2 linked regions of the Schizosaccharomyces pombe genome follow. The protein of the gene in region 2 purifies or fractionates together with the protein of the main gene of each other region. This does not show direct contact. Each region holds a gene or a part of one and is shown on either strand. Other genes may lie near its edges. The genes, in order: rpa43 and dbl8.

Region 1 (3,437 bases), 1.4 Mb from region 2:
TGATCAATTTGAGATAATTGAAAAAATTTTATTATTGATGTTATTATTAAAATACAGAAAAACAAACGTGGTAATAAAACTTAAGCTTATTTGTCTAAGCATTGATGTGTTATAAGTAGATCTCGATTTATTTAAAGAAGATATTAATCCTTCACCTGACGTATTAAATCAAATAGTGCTTTTTGAAGATTTTAACCAATTATTTTGTCAATAAATTGCAGGCTAACTGGCTGTCCATAAGTTATATTAAACTGTCGAATTTATAAATAAATAGTTCCAAACGCTTGGGTTGTGGAAAGCATTCAATGTCTATATGCAACAAATTGAAAATGAGAGTATCACTAGATGAAATCAAAAGTCTAGAAAAAAGATAACTATGAATTATCATTCATTTCATTCCTTAAGCTTAAATCAACAATTGCCTACTTTTATAAAATCATACAATTGAAAGTACATACACACCGCTTCAAAATAACTTACTGTTTAGTTTTAGCGCGATTCTATAAACCGGAATTTCTTAGGCAAATATCCATAATCATAAGTAACCAATCCTTTTGTATTTTGAATATAAATACTTATTATGAATTTGCTAGCGTCCCTTGAACCATAGTCAACCCAGCTTCTCTTTGTATACTAGATTAACTGTTAGTCATAATTTAATCAAACTTTAGTTAAAACAGTATATAGTTTACGACATACCCATCTACTACAAACTCCAAATCTTTACCAGGCTCCAGAATATTTCCATCATTTGTCTTCCAACGACCTTGTTCTTCCGTAGTATCGGGCTCAATAAAAATCCAATCTTTAGGTATAGATTTTCGCGGAATAGATGCATTAAAAATACCCAAAATTAATAGACCAATATGACTTGGACTGACTAAATTAATTTTTCCTTCTAGTGATAGTTAGCATTTATTTTGGAGTTGGTATAAAATTTTGCACGACTGAATTATCATGATACAAATCCATCATAGAATCTCGAATTTCTAAGCATTTCATACCTAAACAATCGCCTTTTTTGGGAGAAAATACTAAAACGTCTACACGGACCCATATAAAGGAGAATGGGGAGTCATACATGACCTTTGCACTTTTTTCCAGGAATCGAATATTGTCGTACGCCAACACTATTCCATTGATTCTTGGGAGTTTGCTAAGAATCATACTATCCATATGCTCCTGAATAGCATTTAAAGGATCCCTGCTGTGTCCAGGAGCAATGGAAAGGTATAAATCTACAGTCTGTTTGTAGAGTGATAAATCCGGCATGTTGGCGGAACGCAAATTTCCTTCATCGACTGCATCCAGTTTTACAGATATGTTCAAGGGTAAACAAAGCTCTTCAATTGATCAACCAAGGTCATATATAACATATCATGTCTTCGAGAAAGGTTAACAGCTAAATAGGCGATACTATGGCATCAATAGAAATGCCAATTCTGTAAATGACACCATGTCACTACAGTGCTCAAGACATTGAAATTTTTTTTTTAATTACAATAAGAAATACTTTACCTTTTTTTTCTCTTATTTAAATGAAGAATATTATTGAGACAAAATAAGTGAATCGCTCATTACTATACAAATAGTGTCTATTTAATATAGCTAAAATTATTTCAAGATTTTTTTGATATCTTATTGAAAAAAAGATTTTGTAACGCGACTACCATGGAATGGTTGCCATATTCTAAGATGTTCCCAAATAAATAGTCAATTCTTAACCGCTTATGATATGGAATTAAAAGTGCAATACGGTTAATTTAGCATAAAAACTGAAATTCCTTCCTAAAGCTCGAACGTTTTTCAGCTTTGAGACTGTACATTTAGAAACGAAACAAAGGTAATCAAACCCAAATAGTAAACCAATGTTTCACATAAAACTTTTTCGCCCTAATATATAAGAAAATGGAATGCATCTAGTTTTTAACAGGTCGGAGCTTAAAATTTAGGGAGATGAGACTAAAGCACAATGCTTTTAAATCTTGAATTAGGTAGTAGAAAACTTTTAGCCCTTCTGGATCATCACTATTTTGAACGTCTGCCAAACTTCCAAGTTTACAGGTCTAGTAGTTTATATTAGCTTAAAAGTATCTAGAATGAATATATTTATGCCAAATGAAGAGCAATCTTACTTCAAACATGATGTGTTTTCCATTCATACGAATTTCAAGTTCCTGCTTACCATCTTTATTTTCAGGTGGCCAACTTTCATCTGATTCTCTAAATAGTAGTTAGTATAAAAAATTGAAAGAAATGACTTGCTTTATGATCTCACTGTCATCTACAATACGTTGAACTTCTTTTAAAACAAGCTCACTGACGAACACTTTAAGGCTTTGTTAATACGATCGAACAGAAATGTAGTACTAAAACATACTCTCCTTTCGGATTAACGAATCGTTCCGATAGTTAGAATTGTTTGCGTATCTAGCTAATTGAATTAGTATTCATGTCAAACCACTGTTGCTAATATGAATCAGAAAATTGTTGACTCTATTCATACCTAGCCCATCACTATGATAATCGAATTCTAGCAAATGTTTGGTTAGCTGCGCGACCTTGCGTCTAATATTATCGCGTACCCAAGAACTCGTGTCCGAATCGACCATGGTGTCCCGAGCTTCAGTCAGTTAGCATTCAAAACTATTTACAGCTTTTTTGCATACTAGTATCGAACATAAAAATCACTCATTTTCGAGCAAATAGGAATATGATGGCTTCGATGACTACTGCTGAGAGGTAAACTCTTGGTCAAAGATACGAAGCATATAGTGATTCACTATTTTAAATAACACAATACACTAGTGCATCCAATTTTTGGAGCTCGACAATCAAAGTTCGTGGGTAATTCAATATACAGTGTATCTTTGATGAATTCGTTGACATTATATATTGACTGCTAAGTCTATATCTGTAAATCAAAGTCTTTTAATTCCTTAAAGGCTTTTTCCAAATTCAGGTTAAATCTTGACAAGTTATTTTTCTGGGACCTTTTAACGTTCCACGACTTATTTCACTGCATTTACAAAAGTTATTCTGGCACTGTTGCATCTTTTATCGCTAGTTTGTGATCCTTGGGTTGTTTTTTATTAAGACTACGGTTTGATTTTTTTATTGTAACATATTAAATCGAGCTTTTGACAGGCTTCATTTATGTTATTTATATATCGACATTCACAGCTGTCATCCAAAAATATTTTTTTTAAAGGTAGCTAAATAAAGCGAAAGTCGTACTCACAGATTATCTCAAATCAATTGTTGGTCTCGACTAGTTAACCAAGGCACATGACATGTTATATAAGTTTTAATTCACTTGACAATTATCATTTTGGTTAATCTCTCCTTCTAATATGGCCTTTTATTTAGAAACAACCCCTTCTAATCTACCGGTTTTGGATCCTTCAGAAGAAATTTTGCTAGTTCAAGACCAGGTA
Region 2 (8,259 bases):
CTGATAATATGCTAATTTATAGCATATTTTGGAAGCTAATTAATAATGAAATTGTGAGTATGAGCTAATACAAGTTTGATATAATCCTAACACAAACATATAGAATATACTGGTGCATTTGTCCTGTTTATATATACCATTGAGTAAAAATTAATATAGTGTTGTTGTAAGCAAAATCATTTTTAGATAGGAGAAATATTAATAAATAAACTATGTCTAAGATTCAAATGATTGAAAACGTCCCGCTACTCGTGTTATTAAAAAAGTAATACTGTAAAATACTCATACTAAAACCTAAATCGGCTACTTCCTTTTGAAATGCTCAACTTTTGGAGGTGCAAAACCGTGGGCCATCGCCGCCAGAGCAAGTTTCGATTTGGGCTTTTTTGATTTTTTCATATGGCCTTTATCTTTATTTTTTTCCACATAACCCGGCTTTTTGGAAGACGCTTGTTCAATTTCAGATTCGTCTATTTTGTTTAACACATCTTGCTTGGAACTGGATGATTCATCAAGGCGTGGTTTCGTGACCTTATTATCAGCAGCAGTCTGATCAGTGGAAACTTTGTTCTTAGCGCGCTTATTCGGTATATCTTCATCTCTCTCAGTTCCTCTTGACAAATTAGCACTATCTATATTGTGCCGTTTTTTGACTTTATGTGCTTCTTGTTTTTCCTCACAGATACCAACCGACGGCGACTTAATTGGGGTATCCCGTGAGGCTAAATTTAAATTGTTAGATGCGAGGTGTGTCGAAACGTTTGATATACTTTTTGAGTTCTTAAATTGATTAGCACTCAAGTCTCTCCAAACACCACGAGTTTTTGCGTCTTCAATCAAGCTATAAAAAATATCCTCTTGCATTAGCGGTTTAGAATTGCCTACGATATACAAAGATGATTTAGCTCTTGTTAAAGCTACATTAAGCCGACGAAGATCTTGAAGGAAACCGATTCCACCGCTCATCGAACTCCTAACGCAAGAAAAAATTATAATGTCCTTTTCCTGTCCCTGAAACCCATCGACGGTATGAATATCAAGATGCTTGAATATAATGGAACCATACTTTCTTTGAAATTGTGATCGAAGCTGTTGTACTTGACTTCTATAAGGGGTAACAACTCCAATTTTCCCCTCAAAATCAATGTTTAGATAACATTGAATTAGCCTCTCATATAATAATAAAATAAACGAAGCCTCTTCCACATTGTACAGAGACTTTGAGTTGGAAAAAGCTTCCGTCCCGTGAACATTAAAAAATCGATAAATACCTAGCTGCGGATCCTCGTGCCAAGGTCGAGATGTCACTGCTGACATATTGGGACCGTCAAGTAGTTTTGAATTATAGAAAAACTTGCTGGGAAATCGGCTAATTTCAGGATTCATTCTATACTGTATGCTAAGAAGACAAGCGCTCTCATTATGCTGTTTGAACATTCTGACATATAGAGATTGTGAATATCCAAACTTTGCAGAGGTTTTTGATAGCACAGTAGGAGGAAGCTGATTCGGATCACCAACCATTACACAGCTCTCACAGCCATACTTAAGAGGTATGATTGAACTTAATTCAACGGCTTGTGCAGCTTCATCAATTATGACAGTTCGAAAAGTCAAACCCGCATTTAAAAGTAGTTCATGACCACTCGCAGATAAGGTAGCACATACAATATCAGCTTCCTGAAGTAGTTGATTTTGTATTTGTTTTTTCAAAACATCCAGATTACGATTAGTTGAGCGTTGACGTTCTCTCATATCATCAAGGCTCTGTTCAAGCATGTTTTTCTGTTTGGTAATCTCACGAAGCTGTGCTTCCAATATTGAACTATTTTTTCCAGTACTACGAAACTTTTCTAGATCTTCGCGTAAAGAGTCCCTTTTTTTAATAATTGAGTCATATTTTTTCCGAGTATCACTGGAATTGTTTGCTTCTTGATCTTTCTTTAGGTTCGTAAGTTCCATTTGCTTTATCATTTGCTCTTCCAAAGTAAATTCTTTAGCGTGAACGCTTATGGAGTCACCAAATCCAACACGAATAACTTTTGGAAAAAATTTGATACCCTCATGATCGTAAACACCGGCTTTGATACGAAGGAGAATTTCATCTATGGCTGCATTACTAGGAGCGCATATTAAAATCTTATTCTTTGAGGTTTTTCGCGTCTGTCCTGGGACATTAAATTGCAACCCTTGACTAGAAGAAGTAAGTACAGCTCCAATCATGCCTAGAATGGTTTTAGTTTTTCCAGTTCCAGGAGGCCCTTGAATGAGCGTAAAACCATCATTTACAGAAGATGCATAAATCGCATATGCCTGGGGTTCATTTACACCATAAGACTTCATTATTTTTTGCTTTTTGTCATCTGTAAAATTTGAAGGTAGACGCGTTACATTGGCATCCAGAATTCTCTGAGACAATGGTAAATGGCGAAGAGATTTTAAAGCAGCAAATTCACGTAAGCTAGTAGTAGCATTAAATAATTTTTGTGCTGTGAACCTAATGTTCGGTGCATACTCCTGTAGATCAATTGATTCAATATTCATCCGCAGACAGAGTTCAAGTGATTCTTTTTTACGAGAAATGGATTGAATTTTGCACAACTGAAAAGATTTTGGGTTATTAGTATCGCCCGAACTTTGTGATTTTGACAGTAAGCAAATATCTGTATCACTTAAAAAAGAGACTTCGGTAGGTGAACAGGACGTAAAGTAAATATCGACAAAGTTATCAACTGTACTGCGGGTGTTGAGGATTAAATCTATGGGAGGGTATTGCTTTTCTTCAACGGCACTTTTCACTTGAGCCCAACATTCATGAAACAACATTGGTTTGAAAACTTTCTCATAAGCGTTTGAATCATTATACGTGAATTTAGCTTGGACGCACTGCATCTCAACATTAGACGCCGAAAAAGAATCAGCTAATGGGTTCCAACCCAAAATTACTTTGTAAAACTCTTGAACATCAGGGTTTAGCCGGAGTCGAGCAAGTTGTGCACTTTGTTGAGTATTACGGCGCAATTGAGTAGGATGAACTACATTTTTTGTTTTAAGGGAATCAAAGTCCAAGAACTGAATCTGCCTTCTTTGTGGAAGAGATTTAGAGGCATGAGAATTAGCTTCACGTGCAAGCGAGAATAGACCGTTACTAGACTCTTCTTCGGACTCCGAGGTATCTTCATCGGAAGTTGAAGTATTTTTGTCATCTGGATTAGAATAACTTTTAGAAGTGTGCAAAAGTGAAGGCTTGCGAATTGGGTCAGCAGAATCGAGCTTTTGCAAAGCTTTTGGTATATGATTATCCGAATTAAGTTTCTCAGAAAGATGGTTCCCCGCACTGGTTCTTGGAACTTTCGCGGATTCGCGAATTCGCTGTGTTGTCTCTTGTTTAGATTTCAAAAAATTTAAATTTTGAGATTTTTGAGCATTTCTATTGATGGCTTTAGAAGCAGAAATAGCCTTCGGAGGAAGCAAAAAATGATTTGAAGTACTAATGTTTGACTCAGGTAATTTTTTCGCAATCCCAATAGTCTGGTCTTTAGAAAGCAAACCCCGATCATCACTCTGTAACTTAGTTTCAAGCGTATTGGTATCATTGAAAGGAGAGTGATTAAGAACGTCTTCTGAAAGGTATGGTGTGAGCGATATAAAAAGATCCTCTCTCTCAGTGAATGTAAGAATTGTTTGTTCATCACTGGTAATTGATGCCCTATGGATAATATCAATCACATTTTGACTAATTGGACACTCCAACTTTTTACAAATTTTAAGCATTTTACAAATCACTTTCACAACGGATGTTAGAAGTGAAGAATCAGTTAACTTAAGCCAATAAGATACAGTAACCAAAGAATCAGCTATACACATAGCTAAAGCACTGCCCTTATCATTAGCCGAAACAATTTTAATATCGTTATCCGATAATCCAAAAATGAATCCGTTAACTTCCTCAAAAATATTAATGAGCATATCGCAAAAATCAAGGGTATCCCGCATTAAATCAACTAAATTGTCCTTATCATGAACTGGCCAAGTAGGAAGAACAATGAAAAAATGAGTAAAGAATTTCCATAACGATTCCCAGAAATTCTTAAGGGATTCTTTCTTTTCCACTTGTTTTGCAAAAGTCGCATCCTTAGAAGTTAAGCCATCAACAGAGTCAAAAATAGTGTTTATAATTAATTTATTAAAATAAACAATGTGCTTGGCTCCTCCAAAGTTTCTGACTTTAAGCCACTGCAGAAGAACATAACATGAAGAATTTAGTGTATTTGAAAACTGGCTTCTCAATAGCTCTCCTATAGTATCAACAACGCTGTCAGAAAGCGAAATAGATTTAATAATTGAGATACTTCCTGTTGAGATCTCAAGAATTGGAGAAAAAACGAGTGAAAAGATTCCACGAAAAGTTAAAGGATTTGAAACCAATTGGGTTTGTGCCGACAAATGCCAACATTGAGTCTGAATAAGCATTTCAGAAAATGTTGCAACAAATCCGTTTAGTGCATTTTCGAAATCACTTTTGAACGGAATGTCAACTTTCTTAGGCGGCAACTTATCAATCAAGCAAACTGTAGAGCAAGCACGAAAAACAATACGAACCATAAAGAACTTCTCCTCTCGAAATACGTTTTGCAAATATACCCAAAAATTTTTAAAAGACTCACTTACCGATTTGATATTCAAGGGTGGCTTTCTATTTCTGTCCAAATAATGGCAATAGAATTGCTTCAAAATATAAAGATCTAAATTCAATCGGTATTCAAAAACTTTCTTAATAAGCCTCCATTCAACAGACTCTTCATTTTCCAAGTTTAGCAAACGAAACAGCTCGTCAAACTTAATCGCTAAAGTGGAATGTAATTCAAATACTTTGTTTTGTAAACTTTGATCACTATGGGGGAAAATCATAAAATATTCGGAAAACAAAACTGAAAATATGTCAGCAAGTGATTGAAGTAACTGAACATTTTTGAAACCGACTTCCAGTTCCTTTTTATATTGCATGGTGTAATTAATCAAAATTTTGTTAATTAATTCAACTTCATCAATGATTGAAATTGTCTTCAAAAGAGAGGTAGCCCATTCAAACGGATTCTCTGCCTTTTGGTCGTTTGAAAAATTGGATGTATTTTCTTCTGTCCACCTCTTATAAGCATTACCATTAAAAATTTTATCTATTACTTCACTGGGAGAAATTTCTGGCGTCCAAAAATTACGTCCATAGCAGTATAACAAAGAATGTAAACATACAAGGAAAGACGGACATAAATTAGTATGGTCGCTTTGCAATCCCGAAAGAATAAAATCGGCGACATTGAAATTTTTTCCTGTAAGTCCCCTAAAATAAAGATGATCAACATGCTTTAACAGCAACGATAAACCTTTCAGAAAAATTTGCATCTCGTTCTCATTTTCTTTCTTCTGGTCTAAAGAACGAATTTCCTGAAGAAGGGGACCCTCAAGGATTTTAAATTCATTATCGGAGATTGTTTTTACATCACTTAAAATACTGCAAGCCCATCTTCGGAGCTCATCATCTCTCGAGAAGAGAAGACTTATGACACCTGGCACTAGGTTTTTCGAGAGCCGAAGAAAACCGGACTCAAGAAATCTGTTTCGGAACAAGGGAAAGATTTCTTTATTATGTAAAATACGAGGAGAGTATAAGATTTCGTAGAAGGCGCATAGTATAGGTTTAGAGGCCGAGGACGTGTCGATTTTAGGCACTGTTTTGAGAACTTCCTGTAACCGAAAAATGTCCCAACTATAAATTTTCTCCATTACAATCTCAAGAGTATTTGGGTCAAAGTGAAAAATGTTTAAACATAGACTTTTGAAATCATCTAAAGATTGGTGATATTTAACTATACATTTGGGGCATAACTGAAGGCGTTCGTTCAAATGTTTTTTGAACCATACCAGATACTCGTTATCATTTTGAAAAGAAAATAGAAAAAGACATTCACGAACTGCTACTTGTAATTTAGGATCACAAACCCAATGAGGGTTTTGTCTGTTAGTATTTAGGTATGAAAGCGCCAAATGCAAAACTTTATTGGACCCTTCGAAAGATGGGTGTTTTTGATTTTCCTGAATTTTTCTTATTAATCTATCAAAAGCCTCGTCATTTTCCATAACCACAAGCTAATGCTGCATTCTCACTCTCGAAGTAGACTTATTAAAGCGCGACTGCAATTTTTCAAAATCTAGGTTTCTAAGGAAGTAAATTACACTATTCACTATAAACATTTAGTGCAACCAATCATTTGATGTCCACACAGCACTCGATTATCGCATTGAAATAAAATAGCCTTAAGAGAAATTTTAAATAAAAAAATGAACGTATATTTTGAAAGTGTATATAAATTCATGTACCAAAATCACGCTTCTTTATTGTAATTAAGATATATATGATTATCCGAAATATATTTTAAACATTACTATATATAATGTGACAACTTAAAAAACTTTCTTACCCATTATAATCCGAAGTTTGTGATTGTGTGTTTAATTCCTAGTTTCAAATATGACTATTTTCTTCACTGAGCAAAGAATCACAGTTCATTTTATTCAGTATATTTAAAAATTTTGCAGTAACATGATATATTCGTTTCATATATTTCCTTTGTAAGGATTTAATTCGCATGCAATCTTTGCGTCAACATACAAGCTTAAATCATTTTTGCTAGTTCTTTGTGATATTCATACATTAATAAAATAGACGTCAAGGAATAATCAATCCTTGTTTTGAATAAAAATTTTCTTTTAAACTTTTAAGCTGTTCACGAATTGACCTGCAACAAAGAAAAAAAAAATATTGATCAATCATATAACTTTTCTATATGACTTTGTCTCTCAAATGAATCAAATAACCATAAACAAAGCCGAAAACCAACTGGATGTGAAATTTTTAAAGAAAATATTCAGTCAAAATTACTGATTACCATTTTTCTCAAAAAGCAAACGTGCGAGGCGCTTATAGTCAGAAAGAAGAAGTTCAATTTCACCGATTTTAAGATCGCTAGCATCAGAAACAGTCAAAAAGCGTTCCAAAGGTGGGTCGCCCACGAATTCTACAGAATTGGAAGAATCTTCTGAACTTTTGGCAGTGTGATTGGCTACTTTACTAAGTAGAGAGGCATAAGATTTCTCAAGTGCTAGTCCCAGATTTCTTAAATTAGATAAAGATGAGCGATTCACAGGGTAGGGTTCTGCACTCGGATCATGAAGCGAGTTAGAGGTCGAAACTGTTTCGCTATTAGCTACCTCAAGTGAAAGAGGATCATCAGAGGGTTGAATTGACGATTGAGTTAAAAGATTTGGACAAGCTCGAAGAATAAAAGTAAGGGCTGCCTCAAAAGTTGTGAGACAGTATCTTTGCTCTCCGCTTAAAAAATCTGCATTTCGAAAGCGTAACACAAAATTCAGGTGCGATATTAAATGAAATCCGGGATAACAGAGAATGCAATATATGGTCAAATTTAATAAAGAATCAGCATTCAATTCTTCTTGAGGAAGTTGAGAGGCATTCAATATACTTGAATTAACGGTCATAAAAGTGTTTATTTTCGATCTAGGTGTGTGTTGCTCATCGAGAGCAAAAAATGCTTCAGAGACTTCATGTAACCGGTTTGTAAGTTTTTCATCATCAGGTATTGGAATGCAATTGATAAGTTCTTTCTTTTCTTCAGAAGCAATAAATTTTTTTAACAAGTCATCTTTGGCAGCATCCGTACTTGTAGATAAACAGAAAATCCTAACACAATATTAGTAAACAGTTATTGTAGGCGAAGTAATCACATACCGATCATACAAATATTCGCAAACTATATCTTCAATTTGGTCCATCCATTCATCTTTTTGGTTCAGCAAGTGTTGTCTCGCCTTTTTCTGAGCATCTATTTCCTCAGGAAACAAAAGAGGCACATTTTGATCTTTTGAAGAGGGTTGAGGGATAAGGGTTGAAGCAATAAACTCATCGGTATGCTTGTAAAAGTTTTGAAATGCTTTTGCTAGTTCTTCAGGCGAAAGCAATTGAGGGTGAACCGGACTAACTAGAGAAGAGATAAACTGTATCACACATGCTTGTACAGTAGTTGGAAGATTTGATGCAGAATTTGGGAGTTTGATGTCTTCTTCCTTAGGCTTATTTGTATATTTAACAGCTCTCCAAGAATTCAGAAAGCTCATCGAAAGGAACTTTTACGAAAGGTGATCAAAAAGTTTAATTTTCAAAAATAAAATTAAACGAAAAAA

What was found.
Region 1: the proteins of dbl8 (region 2) and rpa43 purify together in Schizosaccharomyces pombe (affinity purification with western blotting, with the first as the bait; one study listed by BioGRID). This does not show direct contact.

Annotation. Positions count from the first base shown.
Region 1 is NC_003423.3:3,999,959-4,003,395, forward strand, and holds rpa43 (DNA-directed RNA polymerase I complex subunit Rpa43), read right to left. Parts: upstream 1,286-3,437; 5' UTR 1,273-1,285; coding exon 1,005-1,272; exon of another isoform or gene 899-1,004; coding exon 700-898; exon of another isoform or gene 634-699; coding exon 579-633; 3' UTR 509-578; downstream 1-508. Other genes in the region: mnh1 (protein mago nashi), read right to left, coding at 1,920-2,066, 2,136-2,223, 2,266-2,329, 2,381-2,434, 2,507-2,533, 2,586-2,623, 2,670-2,695; ESCRT II complex subunit Vps36, read left to right, coding at 3,354-3,437. UniProt on the Schizosaccharomyces pombe protein: DNA-dependent RNA polymerase catalyzes the transcription of DNA into RNA using the four ribonucleoside triphosphates as substrates. Component of RNA polymerase I which synthesizes ribosomal RNA precursors.
Region 2 is NC_003423.3:2,556,990-2,565,248, forward strand, and holds dbl8 (ATP-dependent RNA helicase Dbl8), read right to left. Parts: upstream 6,181-8,259; 5' UTR 6,139-6,180; coding exon 304-6,138; 3' UTR 161-303; downstream 1-160. Other genes in the region: guanyl-nucleotide exchange factor Muk1, read right to left, coding at 6,937-7,759, 7,808-8,193.